Linked DNA regions of Astyanax mexicanus. Each later gene encodes a partner of the first gene's protein in a complex. Links are inferred from orthologs where the notes say so. Each region holds a gene or a part of one and is shown in the gene's direction. Other genes may lie near its edges.

Region 1 (7,783 bases):
TTTATAAACACTGAACACGCGGTTGAGACCAAATCATGGTGAACTGACCAAGAGACATATTCCACAATAACTTATAATATGATTTATAATTATATAAAACAAAATACTAAAACATAAATAACTTAATTACGGCTTCCCTTCTCTTATAAATAGTGAAGCATACCTGTAGTAGTGCCAGAGTTCACTGTAGCTGGTCACTAAATAAACCCTCTGTCCAGCACCTGTGCCTTCTTTCTCCAGAGCAAATACATGCACATCCTAAAAGAGGGAAACACAAACAGTCAGCATGCTTACAAGTAAGTTGCGTTGCCCTAAATCAGGGGTTCTTAACCCTTTTCAACCCTTTATAGGATGTACATTTATTTTTATTTAATAATATTTACAATTAATAAATGCTTAATAAATATGTGCCGTTTTAAATTTTCAATGGTGATTTTAATGTTTTTTTTGTGTTTCAAGCAAAAAAATGCCTTAAATATATAGTTTTCGTTAATATGGTGACTAACCAACAATTTTTTTTTTAAAATAATGCAAAATATTGCTTATTATTGTTATCGTTGAAATCATCTCTGGCAGGAGGTTCGATTTGACCTCATAATATTAATTTAGGTTGGCAGATTTGTAAGCAGATTTTTTGTTTTACAGCAGGTAATACAATCAATCAGGAAAGAAACATAATTTTATACATATATTTCCAAAAAGGAAGTCTTAAAATATATAGTAATAGACAGCAACATGCTTAGAGAAAAATGATTTAGAGTATAAGCTTTGTCAGGTCAAACGCTTGTCCCACTTGAAGAAACATGAGAACAGCTTTATCTAAGGAGCTCCTGCTGCTGTTTCTTACTGTAAAATAGAACAACAACAGCAAATGACCAAAGTTTTCCCAATTATTAAGAAAAAGAGAGGAATGGAATTACACAATTGTTCCACAGCTTGGAAAAACTTTCCTCTCATTCCCCAAAGAGCCTAGAATCAGTCCTGAATGCGAAATCCTCATTCAGTCATAACCTATCCCTAAAACTCTGTATACGAGGTGCAAAAAAACATCAAGAGCAGTAACTTTAGCCCTGTATCAACATGTTATTACTGTAGCATGAAAAATAATTGTTGTTTTTTGTATTTTCTTTCTCTTTTAAAAATCAGAAAAAGGTCCTGAAAAAGTATTGTCTGAGGTTTAGTATCGAATTCAAAGTATCGCATCGGTATTGAAAATTTAAAAACATTACCCAGCCCTATTCACAACCCCCAAGGTTGTTAAGAATCCCTGCCTTAAATATTCAGTATATTTTTATTAAATATTTCTGCAAGTAGTTGATTGGTTAGAAGTTATGAAGTGAAATCAGCTGTATGACCTGTTTGCAGCGCTGGCTGAAGGCGATGGCGGCGCTCTGGCGTGGGAAAAGCCTCCAGACGGAAGAGGGCTGCCACGGGCGAGACAGGCGAGGTTTATATGGAGAGCAAATAGGAGCAGATTGAAAGGACTGAGCTCTCTGCTCTACAGACTTCACTCTATCCAGCCACTTTCCCTTCGTCATCCTGACACTGTAGCCGGAGATTCACCTGCAAAACAATAAAAAAAAAAACATTACATATATATTATAATATATAGTATGATATATATATATATATACATATATATATATATGTATATATATATATATATATATATATACATATATATATATATATATATATGTATATATATTATATATATATATATATATATATATATATATATATATATATATATATATATATATATATATATAGCAACTGCTTAGCAACACGTTAGCAACCACCACGGATATCATAGCAACCACCTAGTAACACCCTAGCAACCACCATGGATGCACATGGAAACATGTAATCCGATTTATGTAAATACATTACTTAGCAACCACCTACCAACCTCTTAGCAACACCATAGCATCACCTTAGAAACAACAAAGCAACTACCATGGATACCATAGCAACACTTTAGCAACCACCTAGCAGCACCTTAGAAACTACATAGAAACCGACATAAATACCATAGCAACAACTTAACAATCACCAAGCAACTGCTTAGAAACTACATAGCAACCAACATGGATACCATAGCAAGAACTTAGCAACAACCTAGCAACCGCATAGCAACACTTTAGCAACCACCACAGACACCATAGCAACCACCATGCACACCACACCAACACCTAAGCAACCACCTAGCAACTGCTTAGCAAGACGTTAGCAACCACCAGACACCATAGCAAGCGCCAACAAGATAGCAAAACCTTAGCAACCACTTAGCACCACTTTAGAAACAATATAGCAACCACCACGGATAACATAGCAACACCCTAGCAACCACCATGGATGCACATGGAAACATAATCCGATTTATGTAAATACATTACTTAGCAACCACTAAGAAACTAAATAGCAACAAACATCGATACCATAGCACCACTTTAGCAACCACCTAGCAGCACCTTAGCAACCAACTACATAGCAACCAATACATATACCATGGCAACACCTTAGCAACAACCTGCTCAGCAACACCTTAGCAACCACCAGACACCATAGCAACCACTTAGCAACAACTTAGCAACCACCATGGATACAGTAGTAACACCTTAGCAACCACGTAGCAACTGCTTGAAACAGCTTAGCAACCACCACAGACATCATAGCAACCACGTAGCAACAACCTAGCAACCGCTTAGCAAACACCACAGCAACACCTTAGAAACAACATAGCAACCACTTAGCAACCACCACAGACACCATAGCAACTACTTAGTAACCACCACAGACACAATAGTAAAACTGTAGCAACCACCACAGATACCATGGCAACATCTTAGCAACTACCAAGCAACCGCTTAGCAACACCTTTGCAACCACCTAGCAACTGCTTAGCAGCAACACCTTAGCAAACACCACAGACACCATAGCAAGCGCCTAGCAACCACTTAGAAACAACATAGCAACCATCCTGTGTTTTCTTCAGGAAATGCACTTTTCTTGTTAACTCTAATATTAATGTTACAGTTGAGTTAAATAGTTGGCGAGTTTAGCAGAGTTGTTTTGGACCTGATACTTGTGAGTCAAGAGAGATAACGTTAATTAGTTACAAGGTAACTGTGCGTTGGCTTAATTATCTCGCGAGAACTAGTTTATAGAACTGGCGTTAAAGCAACAGGACTTTTGATAGCTTGAGCTAGGCTAGCTTAGCTAAAGATTGAACACTCACCTGTTAACCTGAGGATTTACAGTCTTATAAACGCCTCTTTTCACCGAACCAAAGTCTTTTTCACATGTTCCAATCAGTCCTCGCGATTCTTTATCCTCTAAAACCCGGTTTTTACAGTTTCTCCGCTTTTCTCAGCGCCTCGCTTCTTCCTAACCAAACTTTCAAACCCGCCGCGGTTTGTTTTGATGTTCGCGGGGCCGCGGGGCACGCCGGGAAACCCAGCTGTTCCGCGGCTAGGGCTGCGGCTGTGTTCCGATTGGAGGAGGAAGCTCCCTTCCTTATACTACGCTCCCTATCTAGTGCGCTGTGGTCTCTCTGTCTCTGGCTAGCCTTCAGCTAGTGCACTAGTACACAGAGAGAAGTGCCCTAGCTCAACAGCGCTTGGGTTTGGGTTTATTGGGACACCGCCCATCTCCGCCGTTACATCAGAGAATAGTGAGTGCGCGCCGCTAGAAGGAGCCAGCGAGGGAGACCAAAATGAATGGGAGGGAATGGATCTAAACGGCAAACTTAACACAATTATTATAATTATACATATTAATTTACATTTAAATGAATCTTTTTGTAGTATCTTCAGTTGTTGTAGTATAATATTCCTGAGATTAAATAAAAAAATTGTCATATTGCCAAAAATATATTGTTACTACAAAAATACCCTAAAATATTGTGATATTATTTTAGGCCTATATCACCCAAGCGTTTTTTTTAAGTCTTTTAAACATATAACGTGGTATGTTTTAATTACTTGAGAGGAACACATTTCAGCTATTAATGAAAAAAATATGTTTTAGAGTTTAGTGCCTCTTTAATATCGGATAATATCTTTGAGTGTAAAAGAAGAGGTAAGATTTAGGGGCACATTGAAGATCATTCATGCCCCTCTCACCCAGCAGGAGAAGCAGAGAAGGTATACAGAGGAGATTGCCCACTTTAGCATGTGTTCAGAGTGTGTTTGCCACTAGGGGGCGCTCCCTAGTGAGACAAAAATGAATGGGTTTTAATGGAGCAAATGAGAAAAATCAGAATTTATTAATGTTTTATCATTTTTATAATAAACAATGCCCTCATTTTATATAAAAAACACAAAATGTATTGTTTTAGCACTGTATAAATAATTTTAAAATATTTTAAACTCCAGTTATACACTTTTTAAACCGTCTCTCTAGCGCGCCTCACCTCACCAACCAATCAGCTCACAGCGATAGCAGTAACGCTAGCGTCTTTACGGCTTAAAACCTGTTTACTTTAGCAAAATAAAAGTATTAAAGTAGGCTTTCTTTACTGCTTTTGTAAGGTATTTTAATTTACTATAAAACTGTTAAGAAATATCCCTGAGGAGTAGTTAGTTAATATTTTTAATTTGTGTTTTTAGCCGTTTAGCTCCATTCACGCTCATTCATTTCTGACTCACTCGCGGGCTCCCCCTAGCGGTTTGCAGTCCTTTACTGCAATAAAGTGGGCAGGCTCGCTATAAAGCGGCTGTGGCGGCAGCAGTTGGCGGGTTGGCGGGTTGATTCAAATGAAAGATGGCGCTGATGCGGGTCGTGGAGCTGCTGAGACTCAGCGCGGTTTCTACAGGTAATTAATGCGTTTATAATGAAGAGAGCGGACACAAAATAATGTTTAAGACCTTTAGTATTAGGTACTTTAGTTTATACGAAAAAATACAGCGCATTTGTTCGGAAAGTAGCTCATTAGCTAGCTAACCTACTTAGGTTAGGTTGCCGGTGTTGCTAATCTAACTTACGATAACCAAAACATTAACCTTACCTAGCTAGGGTTAGTTAAATTAAATAACGTTAGTTAGCCTTTATTCTCGTTCAATAAATATCTTTCTACCCTCCACAGACTGTTTTAAGAAAATGCATTAATATGTGTCTTTTAGAATCGAAAATTGGCTTAGAATTCACTTGTAACGTTACTCATGAATTGACCGAAGCATAAATAAGAATATCTGGGTCCTGAATAGGGTTGAGAGGTTTATAGAATTTGATTAATTTTAATTGACACCACTTATATAAATACAATTGCATTTTACATTTCTTACGTTCATTCTTTTATGTACATTTCAATATCCACTATGATAATTTACGTCTGTGGAAAAACAAATGCGATTAATCGCAGTTAATAGAATTAATCTACAGGTTTATTGCTGTTTTCACAGAAGTTAAATTGGAGAATGTACCTTTTTATTTGATCTTTAACTGCGTATAGAAGCTTCCAGAAAGAATTTCACTAGCGTTTGATAACTAGTAGGGGGTGAGTGATAGTGCTCTAAAATAATAATCACAATATTTAAGGGAATTTTTTGTGATAATGATAATTTTGGCGATATAAAAAATCATTGACAATTTTAAAATTGATTTCCGAATCATATTAAAGTTATGTTTTGGTTTCAGTTTCATACATTTAGCAGAAATAAGTAGTAGAAAAAATAAACAACTGATATTTTGGTAATTATCATGTGATCTTTGTGGTGTTTGGATGCTTTGAGGAACTTACAGGATGGTATAAATGTGTAGAGAGTCTTATAAAAGCCCTATTTGGACAGGATTAGTTTCTCAGAGGGTTCTGGGGTCATTTTCTGGTTTATGGGGGGGTCCTCTGTGATTTTTATTCCTGTCCAGAACGACCATGTAGCTATGTGTTTTCTCAGACTCTGTCCTCTGCGAACATTACAGGCTGAAGTATCTACTGTTTTTCGCTGAACTCCGTGGCCCTCCGGTAATTTTAGCCCCGTCCGGACGCAAATCTGAGTTTTGTCACTTTGCGTTTAATAAAATGGCTATTTGTCCGCTGCCGCGCACTGTAGTTACATTTTGGGAGCTCGTTTCCACGGAGATGCATGTAAAACATGGAGAGTGGAAATGGAGGAGCTACTGAACATGATGTTATGTGATCGAGAAAGCCTAAAAACTCACTGGTCGTCCTGTTTTTACAACTACAAGAGTTTTATCACTGAGTAGAAGTATTAAATATTTTTCACAGACGTCCCCCTGAGAAACTAATACCGTCTAAGTGCTAATTCAAATCAATAAATCAAGTTTTTAGAAACAGTATGAATTCTTTTTAGTTGAACACTGGCCAGTGTTCTCATGGCAATTAGGGGTGTCACGATTCTCTAAATCCTCGATTCGATTTCATTTTCGATTTGAGGGTCACGATTCGATTCGATTCTCGATTTTCTTGTTTTTTTTTCTTGTTATTATTTTATGCCTCATAAAATTTTAATATATTTATTATTATTATTATTATTATTATTATAAATATTATAAATATTATTATTATTTATTAAGATATATATGGTAATGCCATCTAGTGACTTATTTTGGTAGCAACAGTGTGCACTATTAAAACAAGCAGTTTATCAGAGCTGTGTGTGGATGGATGGTGAAACTGCTCACTTACATGAAGCTGCAGTTCTTCATCCAACCACTAGTCGGAGCTGCAGTCGCAGCTCACTACTTCAGTACAGCCCAGCCACGGGCTACAGAGCTCAGCCAGTCCGTTTTTACTGTTTCTGTAAACAAATAAAGGTTTTAACCCCACTAACCGGATAATACAGCTCACTACAGTTCATCTTTCAGCCCAAGCAGCTAACAGCAGCAGGTTAGAACAGCCGACACGGAGGCACTGCTCGGATTACATTATAAACAGGTCAGTTAGCGCGCTGCTAACCTCAGGATGTTTATAACTACGGAGTTTAGTGGACACACCACGGCCGCCAGGTAAGTCTTTTAAAGGCTACTGAAGACTATTAAAGGCTATTAGAGGTTATTGAAAGCATTATTGGGGGGCAGAAATCAGTACAGGCTGGTTAGATAAGTGATGTGGTGAAACTGTGACTAGCGCTGTCACAGTGATGTTTATTAACGTCATTAAAACAGATTTTGTCAGGTATTGTCTTATAAATATTTACACATAACTTATATCTCTCCTGAAAAGCTTTTATTTTAGTCAGAAACACGCTTGTGTTTACTTTATCTGAGAGAAAAATGTTTTTTTAATTCAGTGGAAAGCAACAGGTGTAGTCAATTATAAGTTTAAGATTTTTAATCCACCTCACTGTGATCTATAGTCAGTGTTCTCAAGTCACACTAACACACGCATTTCAGCGAGTTCACACGCTCTCACCTGCGCGCACCCACCCCTCCGTCAGATACAGATACAAAACCTGCGCGCCCAACCCCCGCCCCCCCTCCCCCGTTGGACAGATAAAAAACAGTGATCACACTCCCGCCGACACTCAAAACTTGAGAGCCCTGTCTATATTTCTATAAATCCGTTTTCAGTTTCTCCTCAGTGGTTGAAAGGCAGCTGTCTCTCACACAGCAGAACTGAGGGCGGGGCTGCGCTATTAAATGAATAGGATGCGCTGTGTTGGTGCCGGGCCATTTGCATAGCGCGCTGCGCTATTTGCGGGAGGGATCGTCGATCCTCTTTTTGACTTCGATACTCGAGACCATGACCTCATTTCGATTCGATTTCGATAAAATATCGAGATCGTGACACCCCTAATGGCAATGCAGTGTAATGTGAATT
Region 2 (7,137 bases), on another chromosome or scaffold:
TAAAACAACAATGTTCATTTTACTCAAACATAAACCTATAAATAGCAAAATCAGAGAAACTGATTCAGAAACTGAAGTGATCTCTTAATTTTAATAATCCAGAGCTGTAGAATGCACATGTGTTTACACTCATCAAAAACCTCCTCAAACGATCAAACAACAACCGCGAGAGATAGAATCAGTGGATCACAGAATCCCGACGAGCTCATCTCTTGCTGTATCGGCCCTGTGCCTTCATTTCTTAGCCTTCAAGGTGAGCTCTGTACAGGTATTTATGCACTGTTTTGGGGAATCCTCTCAGATTTTGAGAATTGCAGGGGTTTGTACTGCTCTGTGTTCATCACAAGCAGATTTACAGCTTTAATCATTTATTATTTATTTGATTAACTGCTGTAAAAAAAACGATGTAGCATTTTTTATGAGAAAGCTGTAGAGTGACTGGACACTTTATTGGAAACACCTACCTTGTGCATCCACACACTGGGCATTTTATTGGAAACTTCTATCCCAAAAAACATTCGCTCACTGGCCACTTTATTGGAAACACCTACCATGTACATCCACTCCCAGGCCAATTTATTAGAAACACCTACCTTGTGCATCCACTCAGTGGCCACTTTATTGCAAACACCTACCTTAAACATCCACATACTGGCCACTTTATTGGAAACACGTGACATGTAGTTCCACTCACTGGCCACTTTTTAGAAACACTTACCCTTGTACATCCACTCAGTGGCCACTTTATTGGAAACACCTACTTTGTACATCCACTCCCAGGCCGATTTATTAGAAACACCTACCTTGTGCATCCACTCAGTGGCCACTTTATTGGAAACACCTACCTTAAACATCCACATACTGGCCACTTTATTAGAAACACTTACCCTTGTACATCCACTCAGTGGCCACTTTATTGGAAACACCTACCTTGTACATCCACTCCCAGGCCGATTTATTAGAAACACCTACCTTGTGCATCCACTCAGTGGCCACTTTATTGGAAACACCTACCTTGTACATCCACTCCCAGGCCGATTTATTAGAAACACCTACCTTGTGCATCCACTCAGTGGCCACTTGGAAACACCAATTTTGTACATGCACACACTGGCCAATTAATTGGAAACATCTACCTTAAACATCCACCCACAGGCCACTTTATTAGAAACACCTACCTTAAACATCCACTCACTGGCCAGTTTATTGGAAACCTCAGTTTTGTGCTTCCACTCACTGGCCACTTTAATGGAAACCCCAATTTTGTACATAAACACACTGGCCACTTTATTGGAAACACGTGACATGTAGTTCCACTCGCTGGCCACTTTATTAGAGACACTTACCCTTGTACATCCACTCACTGGCCAGTTTATTGGAAACCTCAAATTTGTTCTTCCGCTCAGTGGCCACTTTATTGGAAACACCTACCTTGTATATCTACTCACTCATTGGCCACTTTATTGGAAATACCAATTTTGTACACCCACACACTGACCACTTTATTAGAAACACCTACCTTAAACATCCACACACTGGCCACTGTATTGGAAACACCTACCTTGTGCATCCACTCAGTGGCCACTTTATTGGAAACCTCAATTTTGTACATCCACTCAGTGGCCACTTTATTGGAAACACCTACTTTTGTACATCCACACACTGGCCACTTTATTAAAAACACCTACCTTGTATATTTATATGAGATATGTAAATGAGAACCTCAGCAGGGTGGAGCTACAAGAGGGGTGTTTCCGATAAAGTGGCCAGTGTGAGTAAACTCTTTGCCAAAGAGAGTCCAGGCTGTGAACTCTGTACATTATTGAGTATTTCTGTGAGTCTGCTGTGGCCGTGACTTTTATTTTGAAATGCTTGTATTTGTATCTGCTGTACATTACTGTATATTATTATTATTATTATATTAAAAATCTCTGTACAGAAATCAGACAGAACGCTGTACAGACTGTACAGTAAAGCACTGTTAATTTAAAGCCTGCGAAACCTGTATGTAAGTCATGTAAGATTTTAAAAAAGATTTTTATTGATTAAAAATGTTTCATTTTCTGAATTTCTTCTTTCTTTTTCACATTCACTGTGCTTTTATTAATTATAATACTTACTATTTACCTGTTTATCAATAATCAACAGTGTTTTTTAAAATACTAGAAATAACATAACATTTTTATTTTATTATTAAGAGAAAATTAAATATTTAAAAGATTTTTTTAAGCAGTAGCTGCTAGCATTACTGCTACTGATGCTGGTGTTACAGTCAGAGCTCGTTTAAAAGGTGTATAACCAGAGTTTAAAAGCTTTAAAAAGTATGTCTGTCATACTAAAACATTTATATAATTCTGCGTTGAGAAAATTAGATTTTATTTTTCTGTATAAAAATTATGAAATATATTTATAAACTCTGTTTTACTTTGAGTTTACTCGGGAGGTATTTATTAATTAAATAAATATATATTTATATATATATTTTGGAATGGCTGCTGCTCTGCATTTGCTATTTCTTTTCCACATCCGCTGTGCTATTATTTATTATTAATTATAATAATTACTATTTACCTTTTTAGCAATAATCAACAATGTTTTTATAATAATAGGAATAACATTATTTTTTTTATTTCATCATTAATATAATTTAGAATATTTTAATTATTTTATTTTAAGAATGTACTGGTTTCTTGCTGTATCAGGTCGTCTTCCTTCAGTATTTTTAATTAATACTTTACAGAATATTAATATTCCTTTTAATGCTTTCTTTTTATCTGTTTAATTTACTATTTGATACAGCCGCTAGACGGAGCCCGCGAGGGAGTCCTAAATGAATGGAAGTGAATGGAGCTAAACGGCTAAATATACAAATGAATTATAGTAAATAACCCCTTTGATAGGATATACATTTCATTTTGGAAAGTACAGTTAAGTATTTTGCTAAAACAGCAAAGAAAATATACCTATATAATTGAGTTTTCCTTCAGTAAATGAGTTTTAGGTAGTAAAGACGCTAGCATGACTGCTACTGATGCTGGGGTTACAGCCAGGGCTCGTTAAAAATGTTTATAACTGGAGTTTAAAAGCTTTAAATGATGTCTGCTATGCTGAAACATTTTGCATATCATTACATATCATTGAGAAAATTATATTTTTTCATAATAGAAATGATTAAACATACATAAACTCTATTTTTTGCTCATAAGGAACCCATTCATTATGGGCTCACTCAGGAGCGCCACGATCAATTTCTGTTTATGTTAAAATCAGCGGGGTTTTGGCGACCTCTTGTGGACATCGCTTATAATTGCAGCTATTCTACGTGCAGTTGTAACGTACTCAGCTGCAAATATATCATACAATCCAATTTTTATATAGTATTTTTATCCTACATTAATATACTATTAATATACACTGTAAACCCAAAGTTCAGATTTGTCCTGTGGGAATTTCTTAACACCCAACTCCAGGAATTAATCTGCAACCTTTAAAGAAGGGGTAAAGAAGAATAAAAGAGTAGGGATCATGTTAAAAAAGAAAATTTGGTGTGAAATGAAAAGTATGAAATAACAGTGGATATGGGATATACCACGGTTTATCATAGGGCGTGATATGCGTGATTTATCATAGAGTGATATGACAAAATAAAACTCACATAACACAGGTATGCTTAAAAAATATGTTAAATATAAATAGTAAATATCTAACTGTGCACTGAGCAAAATATATAGCTACTTTATATATAATAAATGTATGGCAAATTATGTTTTTTTTAATTAAGTATTAAATTAACGACAATTACATATTTAAAAAAGACTAATACTTATTTTAGACAGTTAAACATTACTTCTCTTAATTCACAGTTATTCATGCTGAATTATATTATATTATATTATATTATATTATATTATATTATATTATATTATATTATATTATATTATATTATATTATATTATATTATATTGTGTCATTATAATTTAACGGTCTCCTCTCCGGCCAGCAGGGCGGCGCTCTCCGCTGTTATTGTAAACTCACGTCGCTTTGACGTCATGACGCATTTTGAAGGCGTTTGGGCGGGAAGCGCGCGGGAGGAGAGCGGCTGAGTGAGTGTTTACAGTGTTTACTAACAGAAACTGCTCTAAAAATGCTCTAAATAACTTTAATAACCCGAATTATAATTAAATTCAGATAATAATCCCTCACCGGCAGCGCTGAGCACACAGTTTACACCGTACAGCGCTGTTTAATCCGGTTTATCTCGGGTTTTTCCTCTCTGTTATTATCGGGCTGCGCTGAACCCTGAACGGTCAGGCTAGTTTAACTACTGTAACGTTACTGTTACTGTTCACAGGAAAGTGTTCAATATGACCCCGCTTAAACAGCCTGTCAGTAACTGTGTGAGTCAGTACATTTGTGCGTCTGTGAGGCAGTAAGTAAGTGAGTGTAACTAGCTAAGTAAGTCAGTCAGTGAGTCTGTAAGTCAGTGAGTAGGAAAAGTAAGTCTATAACTAGCTAAGTAAGTCAGTGAGTCTGTAACGTTAAGTCAGTCAGTAAGTTAAGTTAAGTAAGTCTGTTACTAGTTAAATCTGTAACTCTGTCAGTAAGTCAGTCTGTAGCTAAATATATAATTATCGGTGGTGGAAAAAGTAACTGAAAAATTATAATTAAGTAAAAGTACCTTTACTTTGCTAAAATTCTACTCAAGTAAAAGTAAAAGTACCCATCTAAAATTCTACTCAAGTAAAAGTAAAAATCTACTGGAGTAAAAGTAAAAAGTAACTTACTCAATTTAAAATGTACTTTGAGTAAAAGTTACATAGCTACTTTTAATTATTTGATGTAAAAAAGTACAACAAATCATAAATCAAATTGTTTTAAATGAACTATTATTCCTCAAAATAATTTGGACCTTTCAGGCAGTAATTATTTGTTCAGACCACCCCATAAAACATTTTCAAGAACAAGTGGTATAGGTTTCTATCATCCATTTATTTTCTTTACTGTTAGAAATTATGGTCATATAGGTGAATATAAATCGTATTTTTATAGTTTTACAGTTCATTCTTATTTTTTAACTTGCCATTCCTGTGCTTTAACTGCTATTTACATGTTTTTTTTTAACATTCAAGCAGATTGTTTAATGATAAAAACCACATGCTTTCACAGGTTTGATGTGGAAGTTTTGAAAGCTGATAGCTCTGTCGGACGGGGCACATTTTGCATTGCCTGAGGACGTTATTGCCTCGTTTTTTAAATTTTAATTCAGACAATTGTTTTTTTCCCAGCATTTTATTTTCTACTCAGTAACGAGGAGTTTTCCAATATAGTGAAGTAAATTGTGTCAAAATGTACTTGAGTAAAAGTAAATTTACCTATTTTAAAAACTACTTTAAAAAATTACAAATTACTCAATTACAGTAATGTGAGTAAATGTAATTCATTACTTTCCACCTCTGATAATCAGTGAGTATGTAAGTCTGTAACTAGCTAAGTATGTACCTGAATCAGTGAGAGTGAGGATGTCTTTAATTATCTAAGTAAATCTATAATTAAGAATTGAACTAGCTAAGTAAATCTGTAACTGAGTCAGTAAGTGAGTCAGTGAATCAGTCAGTAACTAAGTCTGTTAAGTAAGTGTGCTATTTTGAAAGAGGCTGAATTATGTGAATTATGATTTCCATCCATCCATCCATCATTCCATCATTTTATCAAAATCAATGGGGAAAAAAGCTTCAGTGATTCTGAAAGATCCAGTAGATACAGATACATCATTTTAGTACTTAAGTACAGAAGAGAGAGTTATTTCTATGTTCTGTAATAATCAGAATATGACACTCTCTCGATCTCTCCTGCTTCCCCTTCTCCACTCCTCTATCCCGTTATTTCCCTTTAACCTTCTTTAGGCCCTATTTAAAGATGTTTTACCTTAAACTTTTATTACTTTTGTCCTTCACTATTGTAAGTTGCTTTTGGCGTCTGCGAAATGTAATGTAATATATTTTTTGGATACCTGTGGGTGATAGGATTCTTCTTCTTATTATTATTATTATGAAACATTATGCTCTAAACTAGATGTGGGCGAAATGGCAAAAAACAATCACAATATTTCAGTGTATATTTGCGATAATATTCTTGGCAATATGAAAAAAATAAATAATTTTAAGAATTTACTACTGCAACAAAATTAAATAACTTTAGTATAAATGTTACTGTCTCATACATTCAGTAGAAACAATCTATAAACATTTGTTCATTTCATTAATAGCAACTGACCAAGATCCTTAAATAACAAAACACATACATAGTAGAAAGCTTGACTAGTTTTCAAGAACATCACTCATTGAGTACAATACGATATGGAGCACCTCTACTTTGAACACACGTATTTTTATTGACACAGTCAGATTATTTATTATATTATCATAAATGTGCTGCGTTATGAATTGATTAATGGCAGATGCAACATTTATCTTTGGTAACAGCCGTTTATGTTGCTGAGTTTTCTTAGTGTTTGAGTTATTCTCTGAGCTGGATCCATGTTGCACACTGAACTGGTGCATCCTGGGAAGTCACATGATGAGGTTTGGTAAAGAAATTGTAAAGGAGCAGATCTAACCTTGTTCTCTTTGATCTTGTTTTTTTTCAGGAATCGTTCAGGTTTAATCTGAGAAGATGTCGAAGAGAAAGGAGTTCCTGGATTCTGTTCATCCGGACAAAGTTCAGGACTTTCTCAACTTCATTAAGCTACACGTATGTACTCGCATCTGATGAACCACCAATACTTAAGCTAAAAATGTGTATAAAAAGTCATATAACAGTTTGTGGAGCATTTTGTCTTGAGATATACATTTGTATTGAATTATTTTTTTAGTGCTTTTATTTAAATAAGGGACATGAGGCCACTAAAGAAAAATTTGTTACCTGAAAATTAGTTCAGCTAGGTAGTCTTTACTTGCAAAATATACACTATATGGATAAAAGTATTGAGACTCAATATTTTTTTCAGTCCCTTTGGTGTAGGTGTAGAGTATATAAAGAATGGGATGTCGTTAAAGTCCCTGTAGGTGTAATGTAAAGGTGTCCCAATACTTTTGCCCATATGAAATGTGTCTGCAAAGGAGTACCAATGCCATGTTA

The links. Proteins that work in one complex are often made in the same cells at the same time.
Region 2: the proteins of ncapd3 (region 1) and ncapg2 are in contact, whole or in part, in a cryo-EM structure (PDB 9F5W), measured with the Homo sapiens proteins. The link is inferred for Astyanax mexicanus from reciprocal best matches to the Homo sapiens genes NCAPD3 and NCAPG2. Residues at the interface, in NP_056076.1 of Homo sapiens: Glu1213, Lys1216, Ile1217, Pro1218, Leu1220, Gln1247, Ser1250, Glu1251, Tyr1254, Lys1258; in NP_001268861.1 of Homo sapiens: Phe291, Lys332, Pro333, Ile334, Trp336, Lys340, Ala341, Arg342, Arg347.

What each region holds. Positions count from the first base shown.
Region 1 is NC_064432.1:8,247,202-8,254,984, reverse strand, and holds the start of ncapd3 (condensin-2 complex subunit D3), read left to right. Parts: upstream 1-4,715; 5' UTR 4,716-4,767; coding exon 4,768-4,819; intron 4,820-7,783. Other genes in the region: primpol (DNA-directed primase/polymerase protein), read right to left, coding at 164-258, 1,356-1,538.
Region 2 is NC_064415.1:4,512,465-4,519,601, forward strand, and holds the start of ncapg2 (condensin-2 complex subunit G2), read left to right. Parts: upstream 1-4,055; 5' UTR 4,056-4,103; intron 4,104-6,646; 5' UTR 6,647-6,672; coding exon 6,673-6,750; intron 6,751-7,137. UniProt on the Homo sapiens protein: Regulatory subunit of the condensin-2 complex, a complex which establishes mitotic chromosome architecture and is involved in physical rigidity of the chromatid axis.